Linked DNA regions of Macaca mulatta. The protein of the gene in region 1 purifies or fractionates together with the protein of each later gene. This does not show direct contact. Links are inferred from orthologs where the notes say so. Each region holds a gene or a part of one and is shown on either strand. Other genes may lie near its edges. The genes, in order: CSTF3 and CSTF2T.

What was found.
Region 2: the proteins of CSTF3 (region 1) and CSTF2T purify together in Homo sapiens (co-immunoprecipitation; 4 studies listed by BioGRID and IntAct, counting the BioPlex papers as one, with this or other methods). This does not show direct contact. The link is inferred for Macaca mulatta from reciprocal best matches to the Homo sapiens genes CSTF3 and CSTF2T.

Annotation. Positions count from the first base shown.
Region 1 is NC_133419.1:32,190,812-32,200,345, forward strand, and holds the end of CSTF3 (cleavage stimulation factor subunit 3), read left to right. Parts: intron 1-2,017; coding exon 2,018-2,171; intron 2,172-3,166; coding exon 3,167-3,261; intron 3,262-3,381; coding exon 3,382-3,442; intron 3,443-3,860; coding exon 3,861-4,063; 3' UTR 4,064-4,565; downstream 4,566-9,534. UniProt on the Homo sapiens protein: One of the multiple factors required for polyadenylation and 3'-end cleavage of mammalian pre-mRNAs.
Region 2 is NC_133414.1:98,059,682-98,070,463, forward strand, and holds CSTF2T (cleavage stimulation factor subunit 2 tau variant), read left to right. Parts: upstream 1-5,246; 5' UTR 5,247-5,298; coding exon 5,299-7,161; 3' UTR 7,162-7,274; downstream 7,275-10,782. UniProt on the Homo sapiens protein: May play a significant role in AAUAAA-independent mRNA polyadenylation in germ cells. Directly involved in the binding to pre-mRNAs.

The DNA.
Region 1 (9,534 bases):
AACTCCTAGGCTCAAGGGATCCACTTGCCTTGGCCTCCCAAAGTGCTGGGATTACAGGCGGCAGCCATCACGCCTAGCCCATCATTTCTCTAAAAGTTGCAGTTTCCTAGAACCTATTAACAATGTTAAGTGAGGGACTTACTGTACTTTGTGCCATTGCTAGAAAAGGCTATTTCAACTTTTCCAAGATGAAAATGAAAATTAAGGCAGTTAATTAAAATAAAGATCTGCCAGGCATGGTGACTCATGCCTATAATCCCAGCACTTTGGGAGGCTGAGACGGGTGGATCACTTGAGCCCAGTAGTTCAAGACCAGCCTGGGAAACATGATGAAATCCCATCTCTACCAAAAAAAGAGGGAAAAATACAACAATTAGCCAGGTGTGGTGGCACCTGCCAATGGTCCCAGCTATTCGGGAGGCCAAGATGAGCCCAAGAGGGAAGCTGAGGCTACTTTAGTGAGCCGTGATCAAGCCACTGCACTCCTGACTGGGTGACAGAGTGAGATCTTGTCTTTAAAAAAAAAAAAAAAAAATTAAAAAATACAAATAAACAGAAAAGAAAGATCTTATAGTGGCCAGATGTGGTGACTCACACCTGTAATCCCAGCACTTTGGGAGGCCGAGGCGGCTGGATCATCGGAGGTCAGGAGTTTGAGACCAGCCTAGCCAACATGGTGAAACCCCGTCTCTACTAAAATACAAAAATTAGCTGGGCTTGGTGGCGGGCATCTGTAATCCTAGCTACTCAGGAGGCTGAGGCAGGAGAATTGCTTGAACCTGGGAGGTTGTAGTGAGCTGAGATAGTGCCACTGTACTCCAGCCTGGGTGACAGAGTGAGACTCTGTTTCAAAAAAAAAAAAAAGAAAATAGCAAGTATTCAGGAGTAGAACTACTTCCTGAATATGATGTTTTCCATCTTACATTTGTTTCTACTCTTGTTTTTTGGGGAAGGATTAATGTGCTTCTGTGTGTTATGGTGAGTGGTATGGTGTATATGTATCTGTGTGAGAAAGATTTTTTAAAAGTGATACCCAATGTGCCTACCATTTAGATTTGCTTATATAATTAATACCAGATGTCACCAACTGCATTTCAACAAATTTTGAGAAAGTGGAATGCTTTTCTATCCTTCGTTGGTGGCAAAAAGGGGTTATTTTGTTTCTAGACAGACAGAGTGACACTGGGTTGCCTGGAGCAGGGGAGCTCCTCTGAGATAGGGCCTCTGTTCATAGGTGACTGTATTGCTCCCTTTGGCATATCTTGTCTTAGCCCTGGCAGGGCAATGCTAGTGTACTGAAAGGAAGACTGTGGATGGATTTGAGGTCAGAGAGGCCTGCCCTCCCAATCCTCCTCTCTCTACTTACTATCTGTGTGACCTGGGAAATATCAAAACCTTTGTGAGCTTCAGTCCCTTCTATAAAATGGAGATGTTACTATTTGCTTCATTAAAGAGAGAATAAATGGCTAAAATTGCCTGATGAATAGTGTCTGCTCAATAAATATTCCTTGTCCCCTGTAATAAATAGCACATTGGAAATAACTTTTCATTGCATTAGCAAAATCTTAACCCGTGTGATGCCTTCACAAAACAGGACGTCACTTAATCCAGCTTCGTTTAATGAAACTGATGTTCAATTCTAATGGAAGGGAGGTGTCAGAAGATCTAAAATCTTGAATTTTCCTCCAAATTATCCTGACCTCTACTTAGTTCCCAGTCTTATGACTACCCAAAAAAACTTGTATCTGTCCTACAAATGTCCTACCTGGCAACACTGAGTTTAATGACTTTTAACTTGTGTTGGGGTAAAGTTATAATACAGAGTCTTAGAACCAAATGGCTTTCCTTGTTGAGTAACAATCTTTACCATCATTAGAGTCCTTGCTTATCCGTCTCCATTTTCTTCCTGTGGTTTTAACCCAGATATTCACACTGTATCCTCAAGGTTATGAATTGCACGATTATTCTCTAGTAGTCCCTTTTTCAGGTTTAGGATTCTTCTGTTCTGCATTTTCAGGATGTCTCCCGTGCTAAGCTAGCAGCTATAATTCCAGACCCAGTTGTAGCTCCTTCTATAGTGCCTGTTCTGAAAGATGAAGTGGATAGAAAACCAGAATACCCTAAACCAGACACTCAGCAGATGATTCCATTTCAGCCACGACATTTAGCACGTAAGCCATGACTTTAGATCCAGTACTGAGACCTCGGTTTGTTTGTTGATTTAAATCCAAAGTGTGGGGGTAAAGTGACATGGCCTCTCAATTGTGGGTTAATTATTAGACTTAGGGTCACTATGACAAGTGATTTAGCTTTAATCTTTGAAACAGATTAACTAAGAATGTCCTAAAAACAAAACTTCAATGATCCAGATTCCAGGAACCCATTTTGGCAGTAATACTTGGTTTTCAGAAATGCTGCTATGCCCAGGTGCAGTGGTTCACGCCTGTAATCCCAGCACTTTGGGAGGCCAAGGCAGGTGGATCAGCTGAGGTCAGGAGTTCAAGACCAGCCTGACCAACATGGTGAAACCCTGTCTTTACTAAAAATACAAAAATTTTCTGGGCATGGTGGCACACGCATGTAATCCCAGCTACTTGGGAGGCTGAGGCAGGAGAATCACTTGAACCCAGGAGGCGGAGGTTGCAGTGAGCCCAGATCTTGCTATTGCACTCCAGCCTGGGTAACAAGAGCGAAACTCTGTATCAAAAAAAAAAAAAAGCTAAACAGCTTTTTACCTGAACAGCTGGAAACTTTCTTCACTGATACAATGTTGGTTTCTTTACTTACTAATGGTTAGTAGCCTCTCTAGATTCTTTTTGAACAAAGCCCTTCTGATTAAATATGCTGTTGAATAATTGACTTGAAAAAGGATTGCTAAACAAATGACTTGTGTAACTCAGAAACAGTCTTTGACAAAAACTGACTTTAGTTCAGTCCCCAATTGTCTTATACAAAGTCACTTGTCTACTTCTCTGCCTCGCAGTGGCCATGGCATTGAGACTGCTCTGTCTCACCCACTTTGGTTTGGTAAAGCCCTAAAAGTATTTTCAGTGTCCAGAACAAAGCAGCATAGACATGGAAGATCTTTATGTGCAAGTCACTTGATTTTAGCTCTGTGTAGAAATTCTTCCATCCCACTTGATTCATACTTTTCTTTTTCTCACAGCTCCAGGCTTACACCCTGTACCTGGTGGAGTGTTCCCAGTCCCTCCTGCAGCTGTTGTTTTAATGAAACTTCTCCCTCCTCCTATCTGTTTCCAGGTTTGTTCACTTATTTTCACGGTAGATACTGGCTCTGTGGGTTACAGTAATTGTGTATAAAGTTACTGCTATTTTAACTTGTCAGATTACTGGGATTAAAATTTATTCATGTCAAAATAGGGTCCTTTCGTACAAGTGGATGAACTGATGGAAATTTTCCGAAGATGCAAGATACCAAATAGTAAGTAACAGAAAATCCATTTCAGAGTGTCATTCCACATTGTTGTCTCATAAGCCGTAGAGATTATTATTCTCTGCCACTGAAGTTTTTGAAACCAGCCAGCCAATTTGAAGTACAGTGAAACCCAGGAGTTACCCAAACCCTCTTTGGCAGAGAGAGGCTTATTCATACTGAATTCCACTAAGTAAAATGTCATAAAAGTTTATCTTTTCTATTCATGTGAACATGTACTTTGGCTTATTAAAATTATTAGTTTTAACAGCAGCTTTTGTCTTTTTCTTTCATTATTTAGTATCAGTAGTACTATCCCATGTTTTGCTAAATTAGTAGGCTATGAAATGAACTATAAAGTGTCCACAGTTGAACATACATACCCTTTCATAGTGGAATATGTTTTTACGTTTTGTTGTTTTAACAGCTGTTGAGGAAGCTGTGAGGATCATTACTGGTGGGGCCCCAGAGCTAGCTGTAGAAGGCAACGGCCCTGTGGAAAGTAATGCAGTACTCACCAAGGCCGTCAAAAGGCCCAACGAGGATTCAGATGAAGATGAAGAAAAGGGAGCCGTTGTCCCCCCTGTTCATGACATTTACAGAGCACGGCAGCAGAAGCGGATTCGGTAGGGCTTAAACGCCTCTGCAGAAAACTCCTGTCCAGGATTCCTTTTGCCTCAAGTCGTATGTTTAAAAGAGACAACGCTTTGTTACAAGGTTCTTGGAAACAAAGTTGTATTGTCATTGGTGCCTCTATCATATGGTTCTTGAGAAAAAACAAACCAACCTGTGTGAATTTTAGAATATGGAACAGACCTATGCTCTAAGCAAAATTAGGTTTTCAAAAATGTGAGAACAATACAAAATGGCAGAACCACATTTTGTTCCCTCTTCAAGGGTGTCTTGTATGTGCCGCTTGAAGATTTGTGAGTTTTTCAACAGTTTTATTTTAAAAACTGGATGGCTTATGATTGTAAAGCATTTTATCACATTTTCTGAAAACAATTGTTCTTGGTTTGCTTATGTAGAGTCCTGCCTTATTGTTTGTTTTTATTTATGGCAGAATGTATGAAATCCGTTTTGTAGTTTGAAATTTTAAAAGTCCTTTGAAAAATAAAAGGATTCAGAAACATCATGCTTCCTCTGCTCCTTTCAGATTTTATTTACAATAACTACTTTTTTTATGTTATTTATCCAATACCATTTAAAAATAAATGTCAGTACAAGGAAAAGTCATCTTGTATTTACTAAATGTATTAATCACATACTCTTTCCTGGTCTTTTTTGGTGCTAACTAAAAACATTTTTTTTTGTTTTTTTGAGATGGAGTCTTGCTCTGTTGCCCAGGCTGGAGTGCAATGGCCGGTTCTCAGCTCACTGCAAGCTCCGCCTCCCAGGTTTACGCCATTCTCCTGCCTCAGCCTCCCGAGTAGCTGGGACTACCGGCGCCCGCCACCTTGCCTGGCTAGTTTTTTTGTATTTTTTTAGTAGAGACGGGGTTTCACCTTGTTAGCCAGGATGGTCTCGATCTCCTGACCTCGTGATCCACCTCAGCCTCTACCATTTTAGAAATCCTCAAATATGAATGCATTTGCTCCCCAGTAAATCTGAGGCAGATTAAGATCCTGTTAATACTTTTGTCTCTCTTGAAAGCAACCTAAGTGTGGAAATTCCTTTAACCACCTGCTGTCTTGTTCTCACACAGAGTGTCCCTTATCTGAATATACTTGGGACCAGAAGTGTTCAGGATTTTGGATTTGTTTAGATTTCAGAATATTTGCATCATACTTACCAGTTCACCATCCCTAATCCAAAAGTCCAAATTCCAAAAAACTCCACTAAGCATTTTCTTTGTGCATCATGTTGACACCCAAAAGGTTTTGGATTTTGGAACACTTTGGATTTCAGATTAGGGATACTGAACTTGAATATTTTCACACGTGGCCAGTTCTCAAGAACCTTTTTTTTCCCATGAGCTAAACATAGATAACATTAAGGAAAATGACATCTATTTAACTAAATTCTAATTACAGTGAGCAAAAACTTGTCATGCAAATTAAGTCCAAAGAAATAGACTGTGCTCTTTGGTAACATTACCTCCTCTTCTCTTTACGTGTTAAAAACTAAAAAGCAGGAAGGAAACAAAAAGGAGGGGAGGACAAGTATTATGGTTATAAAGAAATGATCTTACATATTAGAAACAATTTAGACAGTTTAGAATTTGAATTCAGATGTGATTAAATAATCTGACATTTAAAATCAGCTTCAGATGGCCCACAAAAGCCTTACTTGTAAAAGAAAAGTTTTCCTGAATCATTTTCTCATATAAATTTATATGTAGCAAGGTTATATAAATTGGTCAAAAGTGTGTTTAGTTTCCAGTATTTTCCCATTAAAGCTAAAATCGCCTCTCAAAACAAAGTCAGCTGCCTCTAATTCAGACTTTCTTACCCTTTCAAGTATCACTTTCAAGTTGTGAGTTTTTAAAAAATATCACAGTTACCATCAAAACTTAAGACACAAGTAGGCCAGGTGCGGTGGCTCACGCCTGTAAATCCCAGCACTTTGGAAGGCCGAGGCGGGCAGATTATTTGAGGCCAGGAGTTCAAGATCAGCCTGGCCAACATAGTGAAACCCTGTCTCTACTAAAAATACCAACAAAAATTAGCTGGGCATGGTAGCACAAGCCTGTAAATCCAGCTACTTGGGAGGCGAAGGCGTAAGAATTGCTTGAACCTGTGAGGCAGAGGTTGCAGTGAGCCGAGAGAGCACCACTGCACTCCAGCCTGGGTGACAGAGCGGGACTCTCAAAAAAAAAAAAAAAAAAAAAAAAAGACACAAGTAGTACCATATGGCATAGACTTTAAAATATAGAGGTGTAGGCTGGGCACAGTGGCTTGTGCCTGTAATCCCAGCATTTTGGGAGGCTGAAGATTACTTGAGGCCAGGAGTTCGAGGCCAGCTGGCCAACATAGTGAAACCCCGTCTCTACTAAAAATACCAAAAAAAAAAAAAAAAGTTAGCTGGACATGGTAGCACAAGCCTGTAGCCCCAGCTACTCTGGAGGCTGTGGTGGGAGGATCACCTGAGCCCAGGAGGCCAAGGCTGCAGTGAACCATGATCGCACTACTGTACTCCAGCCTGGGCGACAGAGTGAGACCCTGTTTCAAAAATAAAATATAGAGGTGTAGACTTGTTCCTGAAGTGCCATTTTTGGTGGTTAGTGTCATGGGTGAGCAGCGACTATCTGGGGCTGATGGTGTGGGGGTAAGAAGAAACTTACCAAGACGATTGTAGGTAGAGAAAGGTAGATTAGAGAAGGTATGAAGATGCACTGCAAGGCTGGAACAGGCAGAGATGGGGCTTGTCTGCAAAGAGACAAAGGCTTGCTGGGGATTTTATAGGATGGTGCTATGTGCTGAAGAGGGTTTTATGTACTACTGAGAATGCCAAGGTTGCAGTGAGCTAACTTGAAGGTGTCTGGTGATAAGCTGGGTGCAGTACGGCTACATGTCCTGGACCATGAAGAAAGGCAGACTCATAATTTATCTGCTTCTCCCTGTTCCTAGCAGCCTGACTCCCTTTCCCTAATTAGGACTCCACAGTTAGTGTTTTGAAGAAGACAAACAGGCCGGGCGAGGTGGCTCACGCCTATAATCACAGCTCTTTGGGAGGCTGAGGTAGGCGGATCACCTGAGGTCAGGCGTTCGAGACCAGCCTGACCAACATGGTGAAACCCCGTCTCTACTAAAAATACAAAATTAGCTGGGCATGGTGGCACATGCCTACAATCCCAGCTACTTGGGAGACTGAGGCAGGAGAATTGCTTGAACCTGGGAAGCAGATGTTGTAGTGAGCCAAGATCATACCATTGCACTCTAGCCTGGGCATCAAGAGCGAAACTCAAACTCCGTCTCAAAAAAAAAAAAAAAAAAAAGACAAAACAGTTTCAAATACTTGTAAGTAAGTGATCTGCAAAAGTGTTCCCATAAACAATAAAACAAAGCCACGCAAACATGCATGAAAAAACGTTTTTTAGCGCGTGCGTGCGCGCACACACACACACTTGGTGAAAATTGTCTTTAATCACCTATCAGTCCATTCCGACAATGCTATAAAGAAATACCTGTGGGCCGGGCGCGGTGGCTCAAGCCTGTAATCCCAGCACTTTGGGAGGCCGAGACGGGCGGATCACGAGGTCAGGAGATCGAGACCATCCTGGCTAACAAGGTGAAACCCCATCTCAACTAAAAAATACAAAAAATAACTAGCCGGGCGAGGTGGCGGGCGCCTGTAGTCCCAGCTACTCGGGAGGCTGAGGCAGGAGAATGGCGTAAACCCGGGAGGCGGAGCTTGCAGTGAGCTGAGATCCGGCCACTGCATCCCAGCCTGGGTGACAGAGCGAGACTCCCTCTCAAAAAAAAAAAAAAAAAAAAAAAAAAAGAAATACCTGTGACTGGGTAATTTTTAAAGAAAAGAGGCTTAACTGGCTCATGGTTCTGTAGGCTGTACAGATAGAATAGTGGCATTTGCTTCTGGGGAAGCCTCAGAAAATGTATAATCATGGCAGAAGATGAAGGAGAAGAGGGACGTTTTATATGGCCAGAGCAGGATGAAGAAAGGAGGGAGGTGCCACACACTTTTAAACAACCAGATTTCACGAGAACTCACTATCAGAAGAACAGCACCGAGGGGATGGTGCTAACCCATTCATGGGAACTTCGCCCCCCTCCCCCGACCAATCACCTTCCACCAAGCCCCACCACCAACACTGGGGATTACAATTTGACATGAGATTTGGTGGGGACACAGATTCAAACTGTACCAATTATTGTTAAGGCTACTATGTATATTATAACTGTTCCTATTGCATTTATTTATAAGATTTTTTACCCTAGAAATGATCAGCTCTTTGAGCATAAAAAGGATTCTCATTAGAAGAAAACATTTTTGAATGCTCTAACTGCTACAGATATGTATGAATTTTTAGTTTTTAAGGTGATTCTGCCTGATATTTGATCATTCCTTTTGTTAAACAGTTCAACAAGCAGCATGTTAGACATGTGAACTTACCTTTGGAAATCTAATGTGCAGACTCATGGGATAGTCAGTCCTACAGTTCCAAGGACTCATATCAGTATTGCTGGACCCAAAGAATTTGCCAAAAGATATCCATCTTTTTCCTGTTTATAAAAGCAATGACAGCATCTCCTCAAGATTCTAGAACTAGACAAAAGTTTCAAGGACTGTATGTATGTCCTTCCTAAACAAAAATTAGTCAACTCTGGCCTTTACCACTAAACTTCAAACAAGAGGTTGCACCTATGTGGCCACAGTAAAAGGTTAATAGAAACTACTAGTAAACTTTCTGAACAATCAAATTGTACCAATGAAAAAGAATGAAAAAAACACCATTTTTGTTAGTATATTGACCTTGGTCAATAATTATGAATTTATTTGATATTATAACCCAGTATTGGCCTATAGTTAATAAATAAATGTTGAGTTCAATTTTATTAAACCATAGTCATCATGTTCATAAATTCTGCTTTTTTTTTTTTTTAACATAGTAGTTCTTTGACTATAACAATGAGCAAGAGAACTTATGTTTTACTTAATAAAAATTTCAGCCAGGCACGGAAGGCGAGCAGATCGCCTAAGGTCAGGAGTTCAAGACCAGCCTGGGCAGCATGGTGAAATCCTCTCTCTACTAAAAATATAAAAATTAGCTGGGCGTGGTGGCACACACCTGCAATCCCAGCCACTCAGGGAGGCTGAGGCAGGAGAATTACTTGAGCTTGGGAGCCAAGATTGTCCCACTGCACTCCAGCCCGGACAACAGAATGAGACTCCATCTCAAAAACAATCAAAACAAAAGAAAATACAAATTTTCAGAAGTCTTTTTGTTTTGAGACATGATCATAGCATAATCCTCCCACCTCAGCCTCCCAAGTAGCTGGGACCACAGGCATAAACCACCATCCACCATGCCCAGTTACTTTTTAAAATTTTATGTAGAAACAGGATCTCCCTGTATTGTCCAGGCTGGTCTTGAACTCCTGGGCTCAAGCAGTCCTCCCACGACAGCCTCCCAAAGTGCT
Region 2 (10,782 bases), on another chromosome or scaffold:
CTCTGCCATTATTATTCTATGTTCGTGTTTCGGGAGGTGGTGAAGGAAGCATACTGACTCTCACATCAAGTTCACATTCCTGAATCTGAACTTCAAAACCTTTTGTAATCTGTCCCAGAAGCCCATCTTTTGTCACACTAGTCACCAACTCTCTTGGTTTCCTCTGAGGCCATGAAAAACACCAGGTCCCAATTTCACGCGTTGGCTATTACGCGCTTCTGGTATATTTTCTTCATCTTCTACCTATCTATGCCAGATTATAACCCATCCCTAAATCTCATTTCCATCAGAAAACTTTCCTTGATGATCTAGACCATATCACTCTCTTCCATCTCTACGTACTTTATTGCATATCTATCTTATCAAATGGCAACCTGGAAGAACTATCACTGACCTAGGAATAAAATGACAAGGGTCCTGGCAGCATGTCTTCTCTTTGATTTGAGGCACGTTATTCAATGCCACAGGTTCTGTCCTTGGTAAAATGAAATATTTGTGAATTAATAAACTTTAAAGTCATTTCCTATCATGCATTCAACAAATATATAATGAACATCCACCTGTGCTGAGCTCTATCCCAGGTGTTGAGGATATAGAGGTGAAAACAAAATATTTATCTGTTTATCTATCAGCTATCTATACTATAATTGCATTCTGGTTTTGTCTTCTCTTTTTCTTTTAGATATGGAAATTTTACTCTGTTGCCCAGGCTGGAATGCAGTGGTGTGATCTCAGTTCACTGCAACATCCACATCCCACATTCCAGCGATCCTCCCACCTCGGCCTCCAAAATAGCTGGGATTAGAAGCACGCACTACCACATCTGGTTAATTTTTGCATTTTTAGTAGACATGGGGTTTCACCATGTTGGCCAGGCTGGTCTTGAACTCCTGATCGAATGATCCACCCGCTGCCGCCTTCCAAAGTGCCAGGATTACAGGCGTGAGTCACTGTGCCTGCCAACTATGATTGCATTCTTATAATGTGGTGGTTCTCAAAATTGAGCTTGAATTAGAACTACCTGGAAAACTTGTTCAAAGATTTCTCCATTTCTGATGCAACAGATTTGGAGTAGGGCCCCAAACTTTTATTTTCTAAGATATTTCCAGGTGATGCTGATGCCACTGAACCAAGGACCACATTTAGAGACCTTCTGTTCTGGTAGACTGTCTATTGTTTTCACTGCTGTATTGTCAGTGTTTGGAATAAATATTGATGGAATTAAATAATACATTTGAAGCACTTAGTTAACTGATAAAGGGGGATATACAATTATTTTATAGTTTAGAAGAAAAATTGCAATTTTACTGAAAGGTAAAGGAGTTACTATAATCAGGAAGGTACAAGTTATAAGGAATAGTTTATATCCAAAGAAAAACAAAATTACTTCTAACCTAGAGGAAAGGGTAGAAAGGTCATAGAAAGCTTTGTGGAGCAGTTTATTTGTGCTATTCCTTGAAGGACCCATACACTTATTTCAAAAATGCCTGTCATTACTCAAAATATTTTTAGTTCTTGTCTTTGCAATTTGTCTACTTAATCTATAGTGAATCTTTTCTTTTTTCCCTATACTCTATGGTGAATCTTTTTCTTAAATTCCCTCAAAGATTATAGAATTTTTATATTCTGATGTAAGGTTTGATATTTAGAATTAGCTAAGCATGACATTTTTTCCAAATCTGGTCAGGAAGTTGGGTGATTTTGTTGCATAATCCTGTTCTTTGTTAAAAATAAAGTACACTGTTCAGTTAGTGTACTGATTTTCTAGTATGACTTACAAATGAGGCCCAAAGCAATTTCAGGGTAGAAGTTCAAAAATCAGTCTGAGGCCAGGTACAATGTCTTATGCCTATAATGCCCAATCTCTGGGAGGCTGAGGCAAGTAGATCGCTTGAGTTCAGGAGTTCGAGACCAGCCTGGCCAACATGATGAAACCCCGTCTCTACAAAATACACAAAAAACTAGCCATGAGCGGTGGCATATGCCTGTAGTCTTTACTCGGGAGGCTAAAGCAGGAGCCCAGGAGGCAGAGGCTTGAGACCAGGAGGCAGAGGCTGCAGTAAGCCAAGATCACACCATTGCACTCCAGCCTGGCTGACGGGAGTGAAATCCTGTGTCAAAAAAAAAAAAAAAAAAAAAAAAAAAAATCATTTTGAGCAATGGATTAAGTTTATAGTTTCTGAAAGTGATTAGAGGACAGCTTCCATTTGGCCATACATTCTCTTGTGTGTTTGAAATCAGTCTTAACATATTTGGTATCAATCTATTGAAAGAATCAACATCTGAACATACACTATACCACGTACACTTTTCTTCAGAGTGTATGCCATGCTATAAATATCTAAAATTTAAACTTTATGGGAATAAAAAAGCAGTATAAAAATGGATGTTCTTCCAAGTTAGATCTATTAAAAAAAATATGTACTGGTACCAGGAAATATACATAGGTTTCTCTGAGCTCTTGATGTGGGGCCATTCAGTTAACAATAAGTATTAGTTTGTGTGTTCTGGGCATGGAATTACATGGTGGGTCACACTGGTCCTGTATGAAGGGGGGCATGACAAATCATTCTACTAGTTTGCAATAGTGGGACTAAAGAGAACATGGAAAGCCTGTGACTAAGGCACACTCTATAGTCATAACTTCCCCCTTCTTGTTTTTCCCCATAGTCCTTCAACTACTCTCTGTTCACCCAGTCTTCATGTCCAGTGTATCTTCAGTAGCAGATCAGCATGTACTAGAATAGTATATTAATAGTAAATTAATAATGTTTTTAAAACCTTTACCTAAAACCTTTTAATAGAGTATACTAAATTTAGTTCGGTCTGATATAAATGAGAAAATCTACTAACAATCCCTAGGACCAATGATTCTTAAAGATCTCCAAACCAGCAGCATCAGCGTCACCTGAGAGCTTATTAGAAATGCAAATTCTCCAGACCTGCTAAAGCAGAATCTGACTTAACAAGCCGTGGCTCAAGGTGATTCTGATGCATGTGAGGACCACTGGTTTAGATAGTATCAGCAGTAAAGAAACTCTGTCAAGCTGTGCGATCTTCTATGAATTTTGCAATGTATTATAATACCCCGTTACTATCTTCATGATTACTACATTTAATACACACACAATTACACACATATTCAACTTGTAAGTTACCCTTGACGGGACATGTATAAAAAAGGTATGGCTTCTCTTTGTAAAGTGATGGTGTAGAAGGAAGAAAAATAAATTTGTCTTTAGTTTTTTGAAATGATACTATCCTTAACCCCTCCCCTTTTGTCCCCAATAAATGAATCACACTGGGGAAACACTGCTAGCAGATGACTATTCTGTTTCTTTGATATAGCAGGGAAATCTTGTTAGGTGATGTAAATGCACCTTATCATTTGCAAATATAAACTGTCGTGCGTCTTGGGTGAACAGCTAAGTACAGAACCGTTTCAAAAACTTGAAGGTAAATGGATGTCTTATTTGCAACTAAACCATCATACTCATGTCAAATCTATTCATTGGACGAGGATTCTGCGGATACATAATACAATTTTTTGGCTGAAATTTAGAAGTTTCATAATCCACTTAAGAGGCATATTTCAGAATAAAATAATTCTCTGTTTTGGAGTTAAAGCACAGACTTGGAGCAGTCCAGTCCACAGATGTATAATGCAATATATACATATAATTTTAAATTTTCTAATAGCCACATTTTAAAAAGTGAAATGAATAACATTAACTTCAAAATAATTTTTTAATCCAGTATACAAAAATATTACATTTCAACTTATAAACAATATAAAATTGATGAGCTATTTTTACATTTTTTGGTATTTGATCATTAAAATCTTTCATGTGTCTTACATGCATGGCATACCTCAACTGGAATGTTAAATTTTGACTGGAAGTACTTTCTTTTTATTTCTTTTTTTGTTTGTTTGTTTGTTTTATCTTAGTGTTCTGTGAAATGATTTTTATTTAAAATACAATTTATTACTGCAAAAGTAGATTTTATACCCAAGTTGTCATAAATACTAAAAAAGTTTTCCAATAGCCTACTGAACATTAGTTTTTATATTTAAATTAATAAAAAATGAAATTTAAAATTCAATTCCTCAATCACACTAGCTGCATTTCAAATATTCAATATGCGTAAGGCAGTGTAGATCTGGAGCTATGCGAGACCAACCTGGGTTAGAATCCTGACTTTGCCTCTTTCCGGCTGCTTGTCCTTGGGAATTTACCTAGCCATCCCCAAGTTTCAGTTCTATCTTCGAATTGGAGTCGAGGAAATCCCACAGTGAATATGTTTTAACTCCTGCCTGGAAAGCTAACAGCAGAAGACAACCACTATTTGTTTTTCCCTTCATGGAAGTGGTGGATTCACTGCATGATATAATAAAAATCAGAACCAATCAATGTAGGGATAGTTAAGTAAATTTCATTATTCCATACTCTGAAGCCATAAAATGCTAATAACTAATTTATTTAATCACCAATTAATACTGAAATCGGTTATTATTAAGGAAGAAAACCGTAATATTAGGAATAGCACGACTGCTGCCCGTGTGCTCAAAAAAACCTAGAAGGGTCTGCCACCCATCCATTAACAGCGGTTATAGGAAGCCACAGAGCGGGGGCAGGGTCCAGCAGGCACACGCTTCAGTTTATATTTCTTGTCAGTTAATTTCCAAAAACGTTGTTCTAAAAAGGAAATATAATACTGTTTTACTTTAAGGGGCAAATCTCAAATGTGCTTTGAAACGACTACGCTTTTGCCTCAGTCTGGAATGTGATTTGAAATCTAGCTTAACTATACTATAATAAAAGGCCACATGAAAATACTTTGTCAGAACGAAAAACATGCCGCCTTAAATCCGCTTTCGGTTGGCGGTTTCCCGCCGGTGGAACGGAAGCAAAACCGCCTTTGACGTCAAGGGAGGAGTCCCCTCCCAGTTACTATGGTGAAGTCTATGCGGCCATCTTTACTGTGGTCATCTCGCACCAAGGGTGTCGTAGCGGGGCTGTTGGGGCTCCACAGAAAGTCGGCGGAAGGTGAAATGGGAAAGGAATCATGCGACTCTGTAATAAGAAGCTGACAGAACCACGAAGGATCAGGGACTTAAAGCATTAGATAACTTGTTAGTGGGATGCAGGTTCCACAGGCAAGCAGAACGATTCAAGCGAATTAGTAAGGTTTCTGCCCGGATCTTGAGAGCCGCTTCCGTTGCTCAGCGGAAGTGTCGGTCGCAAGAGGACAGACGCCTGGAAGAATCCGCTATCGGCAGTGTGCACAACCGGAATCATGTCGAGTTTGGCGGTGAGAGACCCGGCAATGGATCGATCACTGCGTTCCGTGTTCGTGGGGAACATTCCGTATGAGGCAACTGAGGAGCAGTTAAAGGACATTTTCTCGGAGGTTGGTTCTGTTGTCAGTTTCCGGCTGGTATACGATAGAGAGACGGGAAAACCCAAGGGCTATGGCTTCTGCGAATACCAAGACCAGGAAACCGCGCTTAGTGCCATGCGGAACCTCAATGGGCGGGAGTTCAGTGGCAGAGCGCTTCGGGTGGACAATGCTGCCAGTGAAAAGAATAAGGAGGAGTTAAAGAGCCTCGGGCCTGCAGCGCCCATTATTGACTCACCCTATGGGGATCCCATCGATCCAGAAGATGCCCCTGAATCGATTACCAGAGCAGTAGCCAGTCTCCCCCCGGAGCAGATGTTTGAGCTGATGAAGCAGATGAAGCTCTGTGTCCAAAACAGCCACCAGGAAGCTCGAAACATGTTACTTCAAAATCCACAACTGGCTTATGCGCTGTTGCAGGCGCAAGTAGTGATGAGAATCATGGATCCAGAGATTGCTCTGAAAATTCTTCATCGGAAGATACATGTCACACCACTGATCCCAGGCAAATCTCAGTCTGTGTCTGTCTCTGGCCCTGGCCCTGGCCCTGGTCCTGGCCCTGGCCCTGGGCTCTGCCCAGGACCTAATGTTCTGCTGAACCAGCAGAATCCACCAGCTCCTCAGCCTCAGCATTTGGCTAGAAGACCTGTGAAGGACATTCCTCCTCTGATGCAGACTCCTATCCAGGGTGGAATTCCAGCTCCAGGGCCAATACCAGCTGCAGTTCCCGGACCTGGTCCTGGTTCCTTAACTCCTGGAGGAGCAATGCAGCCCCAACTTGGAATGCCAGGGGTTGGCCCAGTGCCTTTAGAGCGGGGACAAGTGCAGATGTCAGATCCTAGAGCTCCTATACCTCGTGGACCCATGACTCCTGGTGGTCTACCTCCTCGAGGACTGTTAGGAGATGCTCCAAATGACCCACGTGGAGGGACTTTGCTTTCAGTCACTGGAGAAGTGGAGCCCAGAGGTTATCTGGGTCCACCCCATCAGGGTCCCCCCATGCATCATGCCTCTGGTCATGACACTCGTGGCCCTTCCTCACATGAGATGAGGGGAGGGCCATTAGGAGATCCCAGACTGCTAATTGGAGAGCCCAGAGGCCCCATGATAGATCAAAGGGGTCTACCTATGGATGGTAGAGGTAGTAGAGATTCTCGAGCGATGGAGACTCGCGCCATGGAAACTGAGGTCTTAGAGACACGTGTAATGGAGAGGAGAGGAATGGAGACCTGTGCCATGGAAACCAGAGGGATGGAAGCAAGAGGCATGGATGCAAGAGGATTGGAGATGAGGGGCCCTGTCCCCAGTACAAGAGGTCCTATGACTGGTGGAATTCAGGGTCCTGGTCCCATTAATATAGGGGCAGGTGGCCCTCCTCAGGGACCCAGACAGGTCCCCGGCATTTCAGGGGTGGGGAATCCTGGAGCTGGTATGCAGGGTACAGGCATACAAGGAGCAGGCATGCAGGGAGCAGGCATGCAGGGGGCAGGCATACAAGGAGGAGGGATGCAGGGGGCAGGCATACAAGGAGTGGGTATACAAGGAGGAGGCATACAGGGGGCAAGCAAGCAAGGTGGAAGCCAGCCTAGCAGTTTTAGTCCTGGGCAGAGCCAGGTCACTCCACAGGATCAGGAAAAGGCGGCTTTGATCATGCAGGTTCTTCAACTAACTGCAGATCAGATTGCCATGCTGCCCCCTGAGCAAAGGCAGAGTATCCTGATTTTAAAGGAACAAATCCAGAAATCCACTGGAACTTCTTGAAAGGTTTTAGAAAATATTTGGCTGTAGTCTCAAAGTTTATTCTGTAGCATGGAGAATGGGTGCAAAAAGCTGACTTCTGCATCCCCACACTTGGATTAGGGTTTCCCTCCTCCTAGAACCTAATCTTACTTTTTGTTCTTTTTCTTTCTTTCTGTTTTCCTTTTTTATTTTTAATTGAGGGTGGGGGGAGGAGGGAGTGTGTCTGTTCACTTTAAGTTACTGTAAAATAACTCTGAACATGACAACATTATGCCAAATAAGATTACAAAGAATAAGCAGCAATATTGAAGTGTCTACAGTATGTTAACTACATTTTTTAAATGTTGAGTAAAACTTTGTGAAAACTGCTCATAAAGACTAAAAGTTGACCTGTTAAAACGTTAATGTACTAAGATGGTTTTAAGATTTTTGGTTGTATAACAAAATAAAGTTTACCCAAAAGTATAAGATACATTTTTTGGTAAACCATTTAAAATACAAAATCCTATTGGAGGCAATAGGATAAGCATTGTCTTAGTGTTTTAGAATTATTTTTGAAATATTAGAGTTAACAGGATAAGGTTAAACTTGTATTAGAATTGTTTTTTTCTAAAGTTGTGTTACCTGAAAAATCAAGGAGTACACCTGGTTTACTGTCGCTTCATTTATCCCAGCCTTCAGAGACCAGCAAGGTTCTGCCAGGCCCCAAGCATCAGAGCATGTTGATTTTGCTGTGACAATTCTAAAATCAACCAGGTTACTTAAGTCCACTCTGATGAACCCTATCTCTCAATACCTTCCAATTTCTCAATAGTCTTTAAGCCCTAAATCTGAGTCAGTAATTCTCTCACATCCTTCCCAAAAATCAGTGTCTAGGGACCAGTTGATCTGGATGAGTTATACATGATATTTGACTTTTCATAAGTAGTAGGTTTCACTAAGTAAACTCTCAGTTTCTTGGTATCTGGCTTTCATATACAGATGGTGTCCATTTGCTCCACCAGACAGGAGTTAAAAACCTTTAGACTAAACAGCATTTAACATGCCTTTTAGTTTTCTTATTTCATAATCTACTTTTCTATCATTAATCATGTTACCAGAATAATCAAGGCCCAAGTAGGTAGAAGTTTTTATATAGCCTGAATACTCAGTTGACTTATTGCTTATTTTACTTTTTGTAAGGAATACAGCCATTTAGTCCTAATATACATACCAATGAGACAATTAAAAATTGGTTGAAAGATGGGGCTTATTACATTGCGCTACTACGACTTTATTTTTCCTTGAAAATAAAGCCTTGAGGATGTGAACACAAACATTTGTATTATAAAACAAGTAGTAATTAATAAAAGCATAAGTTATCAAATATCAGGTGATCTTCTGTGGAGAAGAAAAACCAATATCTAGTTACAGATTACAAAATGTTTAATACAAAGAGCTGAAAATGTAGAAATTCAGTTATCTTCCCTTTGCAAAACGTTTACATTTTAAATTAGTATTCTTTGTTCACAAGGTTTTCACCCCTATGCTGTTGTTTTCTACTACCTGTTTTAGTCTGTTGTTCATATTGCTACTTTCCCATGTTTCCTATATGCTTCCCCTCTATTGGAGAGGATAACTCACCTTTACATGTGCGATAGTTATGGTTAATACTAAGTCACAGAGTTGGCTCGATCACTTTGAGATTCTAGTTGCTTTATCTCAAAGCTTTCACTGAAGGGCTCTAACTGAAAATTATTAAATGTTACAGTCTTTAGTCAAATCCCTGCATTGTTTAATGCAGAAAATAAAAATACAATTAAGGCTGAGTTAGTATCTGATATGTTTATTTTTAATGAATACATTATGCAAAAGTCTTCCATTGTGGATATACATGGGGCCTGATTATCTTTTGTTTTTAATGCAAAAGGCAGAACTAATGAAATTGCAGTAATGGATGGAACTCTCTTAGAACCATTATCTATATAGTTTGACAGTTGAAATAACTATAAAGACGTGCCATTTTGTGGTTGGTATGAGCAACATCTTGGTGATAGATATTAAGCTTATGTTCCCCAGAGAGAAATCCTCTGTATTCCAATAGCACCTTGTAGCTATCTTCATTACTGACAACCTTAGTTATATTGCAGTGCACTGTTTACCTTTTATCTGCTACTATACACTTCCACGCCCACAAACTGAACACAGGGACAGTCTATCTCACTACCATATTCACAGATGGGAAAAGGACAAAATATTCTATTAGAGTTATTAGGGGGAAAATCCCATTAAAAGCACATATACTGCCCTCATAAGAGTTTAGATTCAACACAGAACAAATGAGCTATAACAACTATTTCCATTTTAAAAAACAATTAGAAATAGGTTATTAAAAACAATCACCTCTACTCTGTGAAAGCTAAGGAAATAGATTGTCCTCACTTCTGATTCATTGAATGTTCCAATATTGATATAGAAAGCATAGAGCCTTATTTCATTTGATAGTAAAGAATAATGCAAGCAATATTGCCACAATCAGAATCTTTTATGTGTTTTACTACAAAATCATCGGTTATAACCCCTCACATCCTGAATTTTCCCTAAGATGTGTAGACTAAAATAAAATCACCAATTCATTCATCATAATAGTTGAAGATGATGGGGTGAAACAGTGATTTGCTAATGCTTCTTTAAGGCTTATCCTCTTGGGGAGTACATGTTTCTTGGGATTATGAAATGATCAACTTTAATCAGTGCCTGCCCATTAGCCCTTGCCCTCATATTACTGATGATTAATACCAAAAATATGTTTTAACATCTGTTGACTTCCTAGGATTTTGGAGTATTTGATAAGATATAAGCTAATGTGAATCCCAGACAAAGGTAGGCTAATCTAAGTAAGATTATGTCTGGTTTTTCAACTACACTTTTCAGAATTCTAATGGTAGAAAGACATTTTAAAAAGAAAACCGTTAACATAATCACAGCTTGCAAAGCTTCTTGTTTTTCCATGCTGTGATGGGACATTGGTTAAGCACACAGAACATAATTTCCTATGGCGTGTCAGACCTTTCTCTTAGGTCTGATGAGGTCTATGGATAATTATGTGCAACAACCTACTGTGGCAGAGAAACTGAATTAGCAGTTACATCTGACAGTCTTCTCACAAAAGAATGTCAGTCTCTCATTATTTTATATCAGCTAATCTCTAGATGGACTTTCCTGGTTGAAGCTTGCTTTCTTCATCAGTCTCTTATCAAGAATGCTCTGGTTAAGAACTGATTCATATTAAGGACATTATTAATATATTGTAAGTATCCCTAAATATAAAATTTAATATTAAATATTAATAGGGATATTACATGATATTGGCATACTATATAATGTGCTTATACATATTTATTTCAAATGTTAACTGACCCAGATCTTTAAATATTTTCATTTGTCTTTATGCACCCTGAAACAAAAGTTTACTTCTTTGGTTGAAAATTCACCTTCACAAATATTCATATTACCAATTACCTTGCTCATAAAATATTAACTAGCATGTTTGTTCTTGATATTATTCTATAACAATATATAACATGTAATTTGAGGGCAGAATTGTGTCAAAAGTGACACTTGGGAGTCGGGCGTGGTGGCACACACCTGTAATCCCAGCAC